3 separate regions of the Mus musculus genome follow, and all the other regions are reported to be linked to region 3. Evidence: microRNA targets listed by miRTarBase, many of them from high-throughput screens and not tested one by one. Region 3 holds a microRNA gene; each other region holds the end of a gene's coding sequence.

The links. The annotated mature microRNA mmu-miR-410-3p reads AAUAUAACACAGAUGGCCUGU and lies in region 3 at 1,271-1,291, opposite strand. An mRNA with a match to its seed (bases 2 to 7 or 8) in the 3' UTR can be bound and repressed. Matches are read on the target gene's strand: a 7mer-m8 pairs with bases 2 to 8, a 7mer-A1 pairs with bases 2 to 7 and ends in A, and an 8mer does both.
Region 1: the mRNA of Rragb is a reported target of mmu-miR-410-3p. Seed matches in the 3' UTR shown: 7mer-A1 at 1,057-1,063.
Region 2: miRTarBase lists Zbed6 as a target of mmu-miR-410-3p. Seed matches in the 3' UTR shown: 7mer-A1 at 915-921.

Annotation. Positions count from the first base shown.
Region 1 is chrX:153,170,798-153,173,797 of GRCm38, forward strand. Rragb (Ras-related GTP binding B) reads left to right here. Exons shown (of 11, transcript NM_001004154.2): 11 at 419-1,146. The coding sequence ends at 516. Among named protein-coding and RNA genes, the nearest start is that of Rragb, 32 kb to the left of the region's middle.
Region 2 is chr1:133,654,058-133,657,057 of GRCm38, reverse strand. It overlaps Zbed6 (zinc finger, BED type containing 6), which reads left to right. Exons shown (of 1, transcript NM_001166552.1): 1 at 1-1,179. The coding sequence ends at 403. It overlaps Zc3h11a (zinc finger CCCH type containing 11A), which reads left to right. Exons shown (of 18, transcript NM_001276767.1): 2 at 1,660-1,713. Among named protein-coding and RNA genes, the nearest start is that of Zbed6, 5.3 kb to the left of the region's middle.
Region 3 is chr12:109,741,877-109,745,054 of GRCm38, reverse strand. It overlaps Mir410 (microRNA 410), which reads right to left and starts at 1,340; the gene lies at 1,260-1,340. Mirg (miRNA containing gene) reads right to left here. Exons shown (of 8, transcript NR_028265.1): 4 at 2,765-2,993; 5 at 1,637-1,698; 6 at 1,208-1,389. Mir541 (microRNA 541) reads right to left here and starts at 2,646; the gene lies at 2,557-2,646. Mir409 (microRNA 409) reads right to left here and starts at 1,897; the gene lies at 1,819-1,897. It also overlaps Mir412 and Mir369.

The DNA.
Region 1 (3,000 bases), not on the chromosome of region 3:
TACAGCCGCATATTTCTGTTATGTGTATTAAGGGGCAGTATTTGTTATTTCCATATCTTGGAAGCCATATCTGCTACAGCCATTAGACTAAAGGTTCTTACCGTGTCTGCAAAATATCCCCCATGTATTTAAATTATTTCTCTTCTCCTGGTTTTATATTAGGTTAATATTTAAAGGTAACATAAATTATTGAGGTTTATTCTATTAGTCTCAAACCAAAAGATTGTGAAGTTTTATGTTTAGGATATGTACAAATCTGCTTTACAAATATAAATCCTTGATAGCTTGAGGCTTTCTGCTCCTATGCTCTGACACACACTGAAGGATTTGGATCTTTTAATTGATTTGCTTTTACTAGACAGACATACCTTTGACTGCCTTTCTTACTCTGTTGGGTGTCTCCCCACCCTACCCTCAGCTTCTGCAGCTACTCTGATCAACATCCGCAATGCCAGAAAACACTTTGAAAAGCTGGAGAGAGTGGATGGACCAAAACAGTGTCTTCTCATGCGCTAAACATTGCTGAATATTGTTTCACACAAAAATTGAAACACTGTTTCTTAATTTTATTGTTGTATTCATATATGTAGGATTTGAAATATTGTGATGCCCACCACGTCTGTATTTCTTCTCTACTCCCCAGTCTTAACGTTTATCTTTGAATGCTATTTATTCAAATAGCGTGAGGAGTTAGAAGATGAGGTGTCTATGATGTTGATGTAATGTATACGTAGGCGATATATGTAAGTGTTCTGATAACATGACTCTAATGGTGTTTAAGTGTTCTGATAACCTGCTTTTAATAGTTGTGTATGCCAAAGTCTTTCCCAGCACCTCTTGTATTCATTATCAAATATATACATGTAAGTTTGAAGTATTACTGTTTTCTCAGCATGAATTAAAAATATTCTGTAACTCAGCCAGGCAAGGTAGCTCATGCCTGTGATCCCAGCATTTGGGAAACAGAGGCAAGAGGATTGCTGCAAGTTTAAGGCCAGCCTGTCTACATAGGGAGGTCCAGGCCAGGGATGTATATCAAGATCTTGTTTCAAAAAATTATATATATATATATATATATATATATATATATATATATATATATACCTTAACTTCACTTCAATGTAAATAAACTTCTGCTGTTAGGGATTCCAGTGTCTGTGTTTCTTTTTCTTGTATCCTGAGCTTTTCACTAAGGGCAAAAAATTACATTTATACTAAAAAAAAATGGAACTTGCTTCCTAGGAAAAAGTATAAAATAAAGTTCACTAAAGAATGAACAGGGCTGGAGAGATGGCTCAGTGGTTAAGCACCTACTGTTCTTCTAGAGGTCCTGAGTTCAATTCCCAGCAACCACATGGTGGCTCACAACCATCTGTAATGGGATCTGATGCCCTTTTCTGGTGAGTCTAAAGACAGCTACAGTGTACTCATTATCAATTAAATAAATAAATCTTTAAAAGGAAAAAGAAAAAAAATGGAGACAGATTTTAGCCTCAAGTTCCAGGGAAGAGTTTAAGTGTCTGATATCTGTGATATCTGAATTTTACAGTAACAAGGAAAACACAAGAAGCTACTGAGCAGGATGGGTATGTGACTTCAATGTTTAAAAAGTAATTTATCTATACTGTATAAACTGACAGCCGTTGGAGATGCTATATTAGTAATCCAGGCCTGATCTAGATTGAAAGTCTCCAGGGCAAGCTCAGTGGGTCAAAGCCCTCACAGCCAGGCCAGGTGAGCTGAGTTTGATTTCCACAAACTATAGAGTGGAAGGTCAAGACTGTTTCTTGGAGGTTGTCCGTATGTGCCCACATGTATAAACATATACACAGAGACTGAATAAATAAAATGTTGAAAGATTAAAAGTAGTTCTAGGAAGCAACTAGAGAATGAATGAATAAAACCTGGATAGAAAGTAAGATTTACGAGATGAAAAATTTTGACGTCCAACAGTGGTTACTATTTTATTTACATATTCCAAATAGGAATGGACCTTAAAACATTAACTAGAATTGCCATAGCTTCAAACCTTTTCAGTTCCCATTAGCACAAAACAGGACACAAACATGTGTTTAGAGATACACAACACTATAGACTCATCTCATTGCTCCTATACTTCATGGTCTGTCTTCCAGGGCTAGCGAGATGGCTCAGTGGTTAAGAGCACCGACTGCTCTTCCGAAGGCTCTGAGTTCAAATCCCAGCAACCACTTGGTGGCTCACAATCATCTGTAACAAAATCTGATGCCCTCTTCTGGAATGTCTGACAGCTACAATATACTTACATATAATAAATGAATAAATCTTAAAATGTCTTCCAGTGTCAGGTGTTAGGATATATCCCTTTAGATTACGTAGAGAGCTATTGACTCAAAAATAATAAATAGATAGATAGATAGATAAAATAAATAAAATAAATAATCTAAATAAATAGATAGATAAAAGGAAACAACAACTAAAGATAAAGAAATATCTTCCAGGATCAGTCTCACACTGTCTTGGTTTATTATTCCCAATTGAGAAATAAGTACTTTTCATTAAGTTGAAAATACCATGTTTTTAAGTAGCCTATGTTCATATGAACTGAAAAGAACATCATGGGAGTAGTTTTAGAAGCTGTATTCATGCAAAGAAGAAATCTTCTAGGTAGATATTCTAGACTCTAAATAAAAAGACCAATAGAATAGAGAGGTCTGCTTTAGCCTGTTCTCATCTTTAATGTTTACAGTGGGATTTGGAAAGCCTTCTTTAAATACATAGATAAGATAATGAAAGCATGCATATGGCAATGTGGGTAGAAATAAAAAGGAGAAATGTGAAAATGACCCAATGAAGTGATGCTTTCTATACTAATATGTGAGCAAATGGGACAGTGGTTCTCCAATGTCAATATATACCACAATCACTTGGAGATAGCTCATTAAAGAGCATTCTTTGGGCCTAAAATGGTTTAACAGGTAGGAGTACCCATTGCTATTGTACAGGACCCAGGTTTGGATC
Region 2 (3,000 bases), not on the chromosome of region 3:
CTCAGCCGCAGGCAGTGTTGCTGTTGGGAGCAAAAGCTCCTTGCTCCCCGCTGCGGTAGCAGTAGTAGATGAGTACTTCAAAGAGAAGTATTCAGAGCTCTCAGGAGGTGATGACCCTTTGGTTTACTGGCAGAGGAAGGTGAGCATATGGCCAGCTTTGACCCAAGTTGCCATTCAGTATCTGAGTTGCCCCATGTGTAGTTGGCAATCTGAATGCATGTTTACCACAAATAGCCACTTTCATCCAAAGCAGATCATGAACATGGACTTTGATAATATAGAACAGCTCATATTTCTGAAAATGAACTTGGAGAATGTTAACTATGACTATTCTACATTGATTCTGAGCTGGGACCCTGAAAATAAGGCTGTTCAGAGCAATGAAAAAGAAATACTACCTTAATTTCCTTTTCCTTGTCCTACTTAAAATGGGCAGCTTTCGCTATATTACTATATCTTATTGCTGTTGTTACTATATGTAGTCGTACTATTTATCCTTTTAAAAAAATGGCTGGGTGTGTTCACAGTGCCTGTAGTCCTGGCTATTTGAGACACTGAGGCTGGATTATGACTTTAGCACATGAGTTTGAGACCAGCCCAGGCAACATGTTAAGATCCTGCCTTACAAAAATGAAAAACCTGAGGAAATCCGAAATTACAGAAAGACTGAAAACTCCACAGAGGCAGTGTAACGATGACAAAATGAAGGTTAACTTTGAAAATTTCACAGTTGTAACTCAGTGTAACTAACATCTATCAAAGTGTCATTTGTATCACTTGAGAGAGAGGGCAGTGTTAATGAGAAACACAGTGAAGCGTTGAAGGACTTAGGTATTTCTGGTTGGTAGATTGAGCTAGTCATTGATTAGAGTAAAAACTTCTTCCACTGTGGAAGATTGGGTTTCAGTTATTATTTATATAAATACAGTGATTCAGGACTTCTATGAGCACAAAGGTGTTTAGAATGTGTTAGTGACTGCATTAACATAGTCTTTCCCTCCCCTGTTTTTTAATTTCTTTAAAACCCCTGACACAGCTTGACAGAATGAAAACCCACAAAATTGTTTCATTTTTAGAAATTATAGTTGCCTCACCCTGGTCAGTTTATAATGTCAGGTTACTGGGTATGATAGAATTATCTTTTATATTTAGGATTGGGTCTATATAAAAGGGAACATTACAAAACAATTAGAAAATGACTTTTTGGTCTTTGATTTGCTTTTTATAATATAGTACCAAAAACAGGGATTATATAGGTGCCTTTAAAATAACCCATTAGTAAAAAACATTAGATGTTTGTAAAATCAAAAAACAAGCAAGCCTCGTGAACGTGCAGACCCCATGTGAGTTTCCCAGAGAATATTTCTAGAGCTTGTTCATTTTTTTCAAGGGTGCTCCTGGTCCATAGCATGATGTTCCTAACTGCAGTTTGGAACTGTATTTTTAACTGAGATAAGCAGTTGAAACTTTACTGTGTTAGGCATCATTGCTGAAATGAGTGAACTGTCTCAGTGGCCCTGCAGGTGCCTTCCCACTCGGAGAGTCTGTTTCTGTGACTGAGTGGGAGGCCACAGAGAGCTGACTTTTAGTAAGTCTATTAGATGTTTCAGATTGAATAACTAATGTAAGATCCCAATTTTTCCTTTTTTTTCATTTTAGATTTGGGGATATTCCCTGCCCAAAAAATTCCTGGAAAATTGACTAGTATTAAGTGTGAGTAAAAGGTGTCCACTTTTTTTTAAGTCTTGATTTTAGTTTTGTCTTGGATAGTATTTGGCAAGATTTAGCCTAGAAAGTCTGTAGTGTTTATTACATAAGAAGCAAAGTGACTTTGTTACTGGGCTGGTTTTGAAACTCATTTCTGTGTATTAAAATAACTTTTTTTTTTTAAATTTTAAATTCTTAAATGGTAAATGCACCATTCATTGTGAAGTGAAATTTTATCTCCCCCAAATTTACCCTTTTACCAACTGGAGTGAAGTCTTTAGCTCTAATCATCAGTTATCAGGAAGCCTTTGCAGGGCCAGCATTGAATGCCATGCCAGTGATGCTCTGTTGATCTAAAGGAAGAAGAGTAAGCATCCTGAGCATCTCTGTGCTTCCCGTGAGCATATCTGTGCTTCCCCCGCCCGCCTGCCCACCCGAGCTGGTTCAGAATGGCTGTAATGCTGCTCTGCCTTCTTCAGCTCGCTGCCCCACTCTGTAGTTACTCTGTAACTATACACTTGTACCTATTTTGGTTAAACACTCCCTGACGATGATTGTTAAACATACCATATACATTGACAAATATATGTATCTATCAATACATCCATCTATATGGATTTCATCTTGATTTTGTGACTGGGTAAAATTTAGTAGCATTAACTTCATGGTACTTTGGTATAAGAGTAAGTTCACTATTTTTATATTGAACCCAAATATAAAAGCTTTTATATTATATTTTAAAAGAATAGTTACCCAAATGTTTTATTTCTATACATTTGTGTGTGTATAAGCCTGTTAGTATATATTATATGGATATTATATACATAAAACACTTTATATTTTTACATACAGTATGCTTTTATTATACAGATAATAAAGATGGGGGAAGGTTTCTGTTTTTTTTCTTAATAGGTGAAGAAATCTTGAAGACCAGAAATTGGATCTTATTGAATTTTGGTGGTGTTTTTACTTTTTTCTTTTTTCTTTTTTTCATCTTTTTATTTTTAAATTATATTGCTCAGCTATGGAAGATGGATTTTTTTTAAATTCTTTGAATTTTAAGTTCATCTTTAAATGAACTTTTGTTGTTATTTTTTTATTTTTTTGAGGAGATAACTAATGCTAGCTGTCTCCAGTCTGACAGAGGTTATACAAATGGACTTAATCTTCCAGGAGTTGGGAGATGTTTTAAAGATGTTTTAAAAACACATCCTGTGTTTCAATTGTGGCTGAGAGGTTTCCTTGGCAATGTGAGGAAGAAAATTCTTTCTACCTCATTATTATTAATTCATG
Region 3 (3,178 bases):
GTGTGATCAGGTACTTTCTGGGGTCCTTGAGACTCTAGGTCAAGCCTCTACAGTAAGCTCACAGGAGTCTGACAGAGCCAGAGTGTTAAGTTGGAGGAAACATGAAGAAGTGCAGGCTACATTGGACACGCAGACTTTGTGTGCCCCGGTACAGGGGAACGCCAGGGCCAAAGGGGGGGAGTGGGTGGGTAGGGGAGTGGGGGTGGGTGGGTAAGGGGGACTTTTGGTATAGCATTGGAAATGTAAATGAGCTAAATACCTAATAAAAAAAAAATGAAAAAAAAAAAAAAAATAAAAAAAAAAAAAAAAAAAAAGAAGTGCAGGCTAATCCCTACTGGGCCCCCTGTGCTCGTGAAGCAGGGACAGAGCTTGGGTATCACTGCCTTGTAGACTCAGGAGGACATTCTGTGCTATTTCCAACAGGGTGGCACTGAGGACAAGACAGGCCAAGGGATGGTCTCACATACAGACTAGAGAGTCAACCAACACAAAGGCTTCAGTTCTTGGCATCAATGCCTCAAAGTAGAAATGGTCTAGGGTAGGACATGGTGCAGAGAAGTAGGCTGTGGGATAGTCATCAGATAGAAAACAAACGTCTCAGAGACAAGCTAGCTCAGGTACCACCAGCACGGACTCTACTTAGGATGCTTCTTCCTCTAAGATGCCCTTCTGGACTTCCCAACCCCCACCTCAGGAGATGTGAGGCTCTGGGTCAGGATGAGTCAGCTACATGCCTGACCATCAGTGGTGTCCAGTGGGTCAGCAAAGTGTGTCCCTCCCCTGACACCCATGCTCACACAGTAAGAGCCAATGATAAAGAGAGGTGACCATGCACTGTACCAGCATTAAGAATGGAAACCCGTCACGGGCAATCTCACCTCAGATACTAGGAACTGCACGTGTAACCAACTGGCCTGGCTCTTCCCTAAGTATCATGCTAGCCCCTCCAAGCCCTCATGGTATTGAGAAGCACCCAGGGTACAGGGCATTTGAGCATGCAGCCCTCGGTGGAAGCCTTAGACAGGGACAAACACCCATTGTTGTGGCGGGAAAGAGGCATGGAAAGTGGACAGCCATCCATTGCACATCTGGCCAATGCTTCGTGGCCCAGCCTACAAGGTTGGTGCGATCCCAGGAGGCTCCTCAGAGCTGAGGTTCAGTGAAGAGGGGGTGACAAGCGTCATACAGAGTCCATGCATTTACCTACCGGGCAGTGGTGTGACACCTGGTATGTACTGCCGAGTGACCGGAGTGGCAGGTGGTATTGAAAACAGGCCATCTGTGTTATATTCGTCATTAATAAAGCGAACTCATCACAGACAACCTCTCCTCAAGTACCCAGTGTTGACCGCAGCAACCCTGGAGCTGGAATCACCACCTGAAGCTGTCCTGGGGGGAAGGGGGGGATTGCATATAAATGGTGAGTAGGGTTGACACAGGCAGCACACAGCCTGTTCCACCCAGCCCAGTTCCCCGCGGAGGCAGCAACCTAGAAGCACCATGCTGTCCCCACCCCCACAGGGGCTGCAACTCCAAGAGCTTCTCCAAGCTGAGCGTTGATACTGAGAAAAGATCAACCATGTATTATTCGAAGTCAGCCAAGCGAATATAACACGGTCGATCTCCCTTCAAGTACCAGCAGAGGTGTTGAGCTGAGGCTGTGACATCCTGGGCGCAGGCTGCAGCGGGCACCGACGGCTAGTGGACCAGGTGAAGTACATTAGAAACAATTACTTTCCAGCTGGTCGACCATCCGTCCCATACCCCAGAGCGAGATGAGTCCATGGTCTTCCCTGAGGTGGCCTCCCTGGAGGGATTTGATACCGAAAAGGGGTTCACCGAGCAACATTCGTCCTCCAGATGCAAAGTTGCTCGGGTAACCTCTCTCCGAGTACCACGGAGAGGCTCGGATGCTCAGAACGAGGCCGATGGCTGAGTTTCCAGAAGAACCATCCTGGAGCCCCTCAGAGATTATAACTCCCCATTCAGTGAGGAGCCACCCTCCACCACGTGAAAGCAATTATTCCATCACCTCCCCAGTGCAATCTACCACCCTTTCACCTTCCAAGAATATCTAAAGCCTTCCCAGACAACCTTGAGACCCAGGTAGCGAGGAGCTGACTCGGGGCAGAAGTGGGTGCAGAACTCTGCTTACTCTATCTCTCCTTTGTAAGCTGGAGATAGGGAGATGCTGAGACCCTGCGCATATACCACACCACCCTCCCAGAGACGATGCCTTCCAGAAGCGAGGAGGCAATGACTGCATCATCCAGAGATGCTCCTCCTTGGGCCCACCCAACCACTGCAGCCCCACGACCCTGGCATCCCCGCCCTGTCACCTGCCCCCTCCCCCCACGGTGATGTCATAGCAAGAACTGCTTGACCATCCAGTCCTATAAACCAAGCAAGTAATGCTTCAAAGATAAACATGGAGGGAGGAGAGAAAGAACAGCGGAAGGAGATCCCGCAGGGTCCCCTTGTGCCAGTGTGTATGGCTGCCCCGCACGAGCACGCCAGGGAGGGCTCTCCAGTAAGGGTCAGGATCCATTGACTTAGGCCATAAGCAGAGTATGGATTCTGTGTTCGCCACTCATTTTAAAACTCTTGGAGTGTGACCAACATCAGAATCCCTTCTCTGATTTTGGCAAGAGTTCACACAGGCTTCTAGCCTTGCTGCAGGGCAGCAAGAGACTGGTCACATGCAGTGTGTCATACGGGGAAAAGACGCCACGGGCAGCTTCATGTAGGTGTTCTGGAAACTGACCTGTGGGACAGAGGCTCTTTCCCCAGCTGGCATCACCTCCTGGAAATGCTCCTAAGAGGCACACAATGGCGATGATGGTGGCTAACGGTAGCTACAAGATCCAGTCAACAGTATGGGGAGGGAAGCTTGTCCAGGTTCTTCCTCCAAGCACTTGTCCTGGAGAGAGCTCCAGCCACTGACCAGTTCCAAGACAATGATGTAGCCTCTGGAGTCCTTTGAGGTAAAGATCCTTTTGGAAAGAGAGCCACCATGAAACCTGGTGCTCATCACACCCCAGATAGTATATTAGACCCTGGATACATCCACTCTAAAATGACCTCCCGTACGGGCCTAGCCCTTCAGCACCAACAATGGGTACGTCTTTAAGCCTAGCCCTGGGAGCTGGCAACATGGAAACCCAAGGAAGGGCAGGCC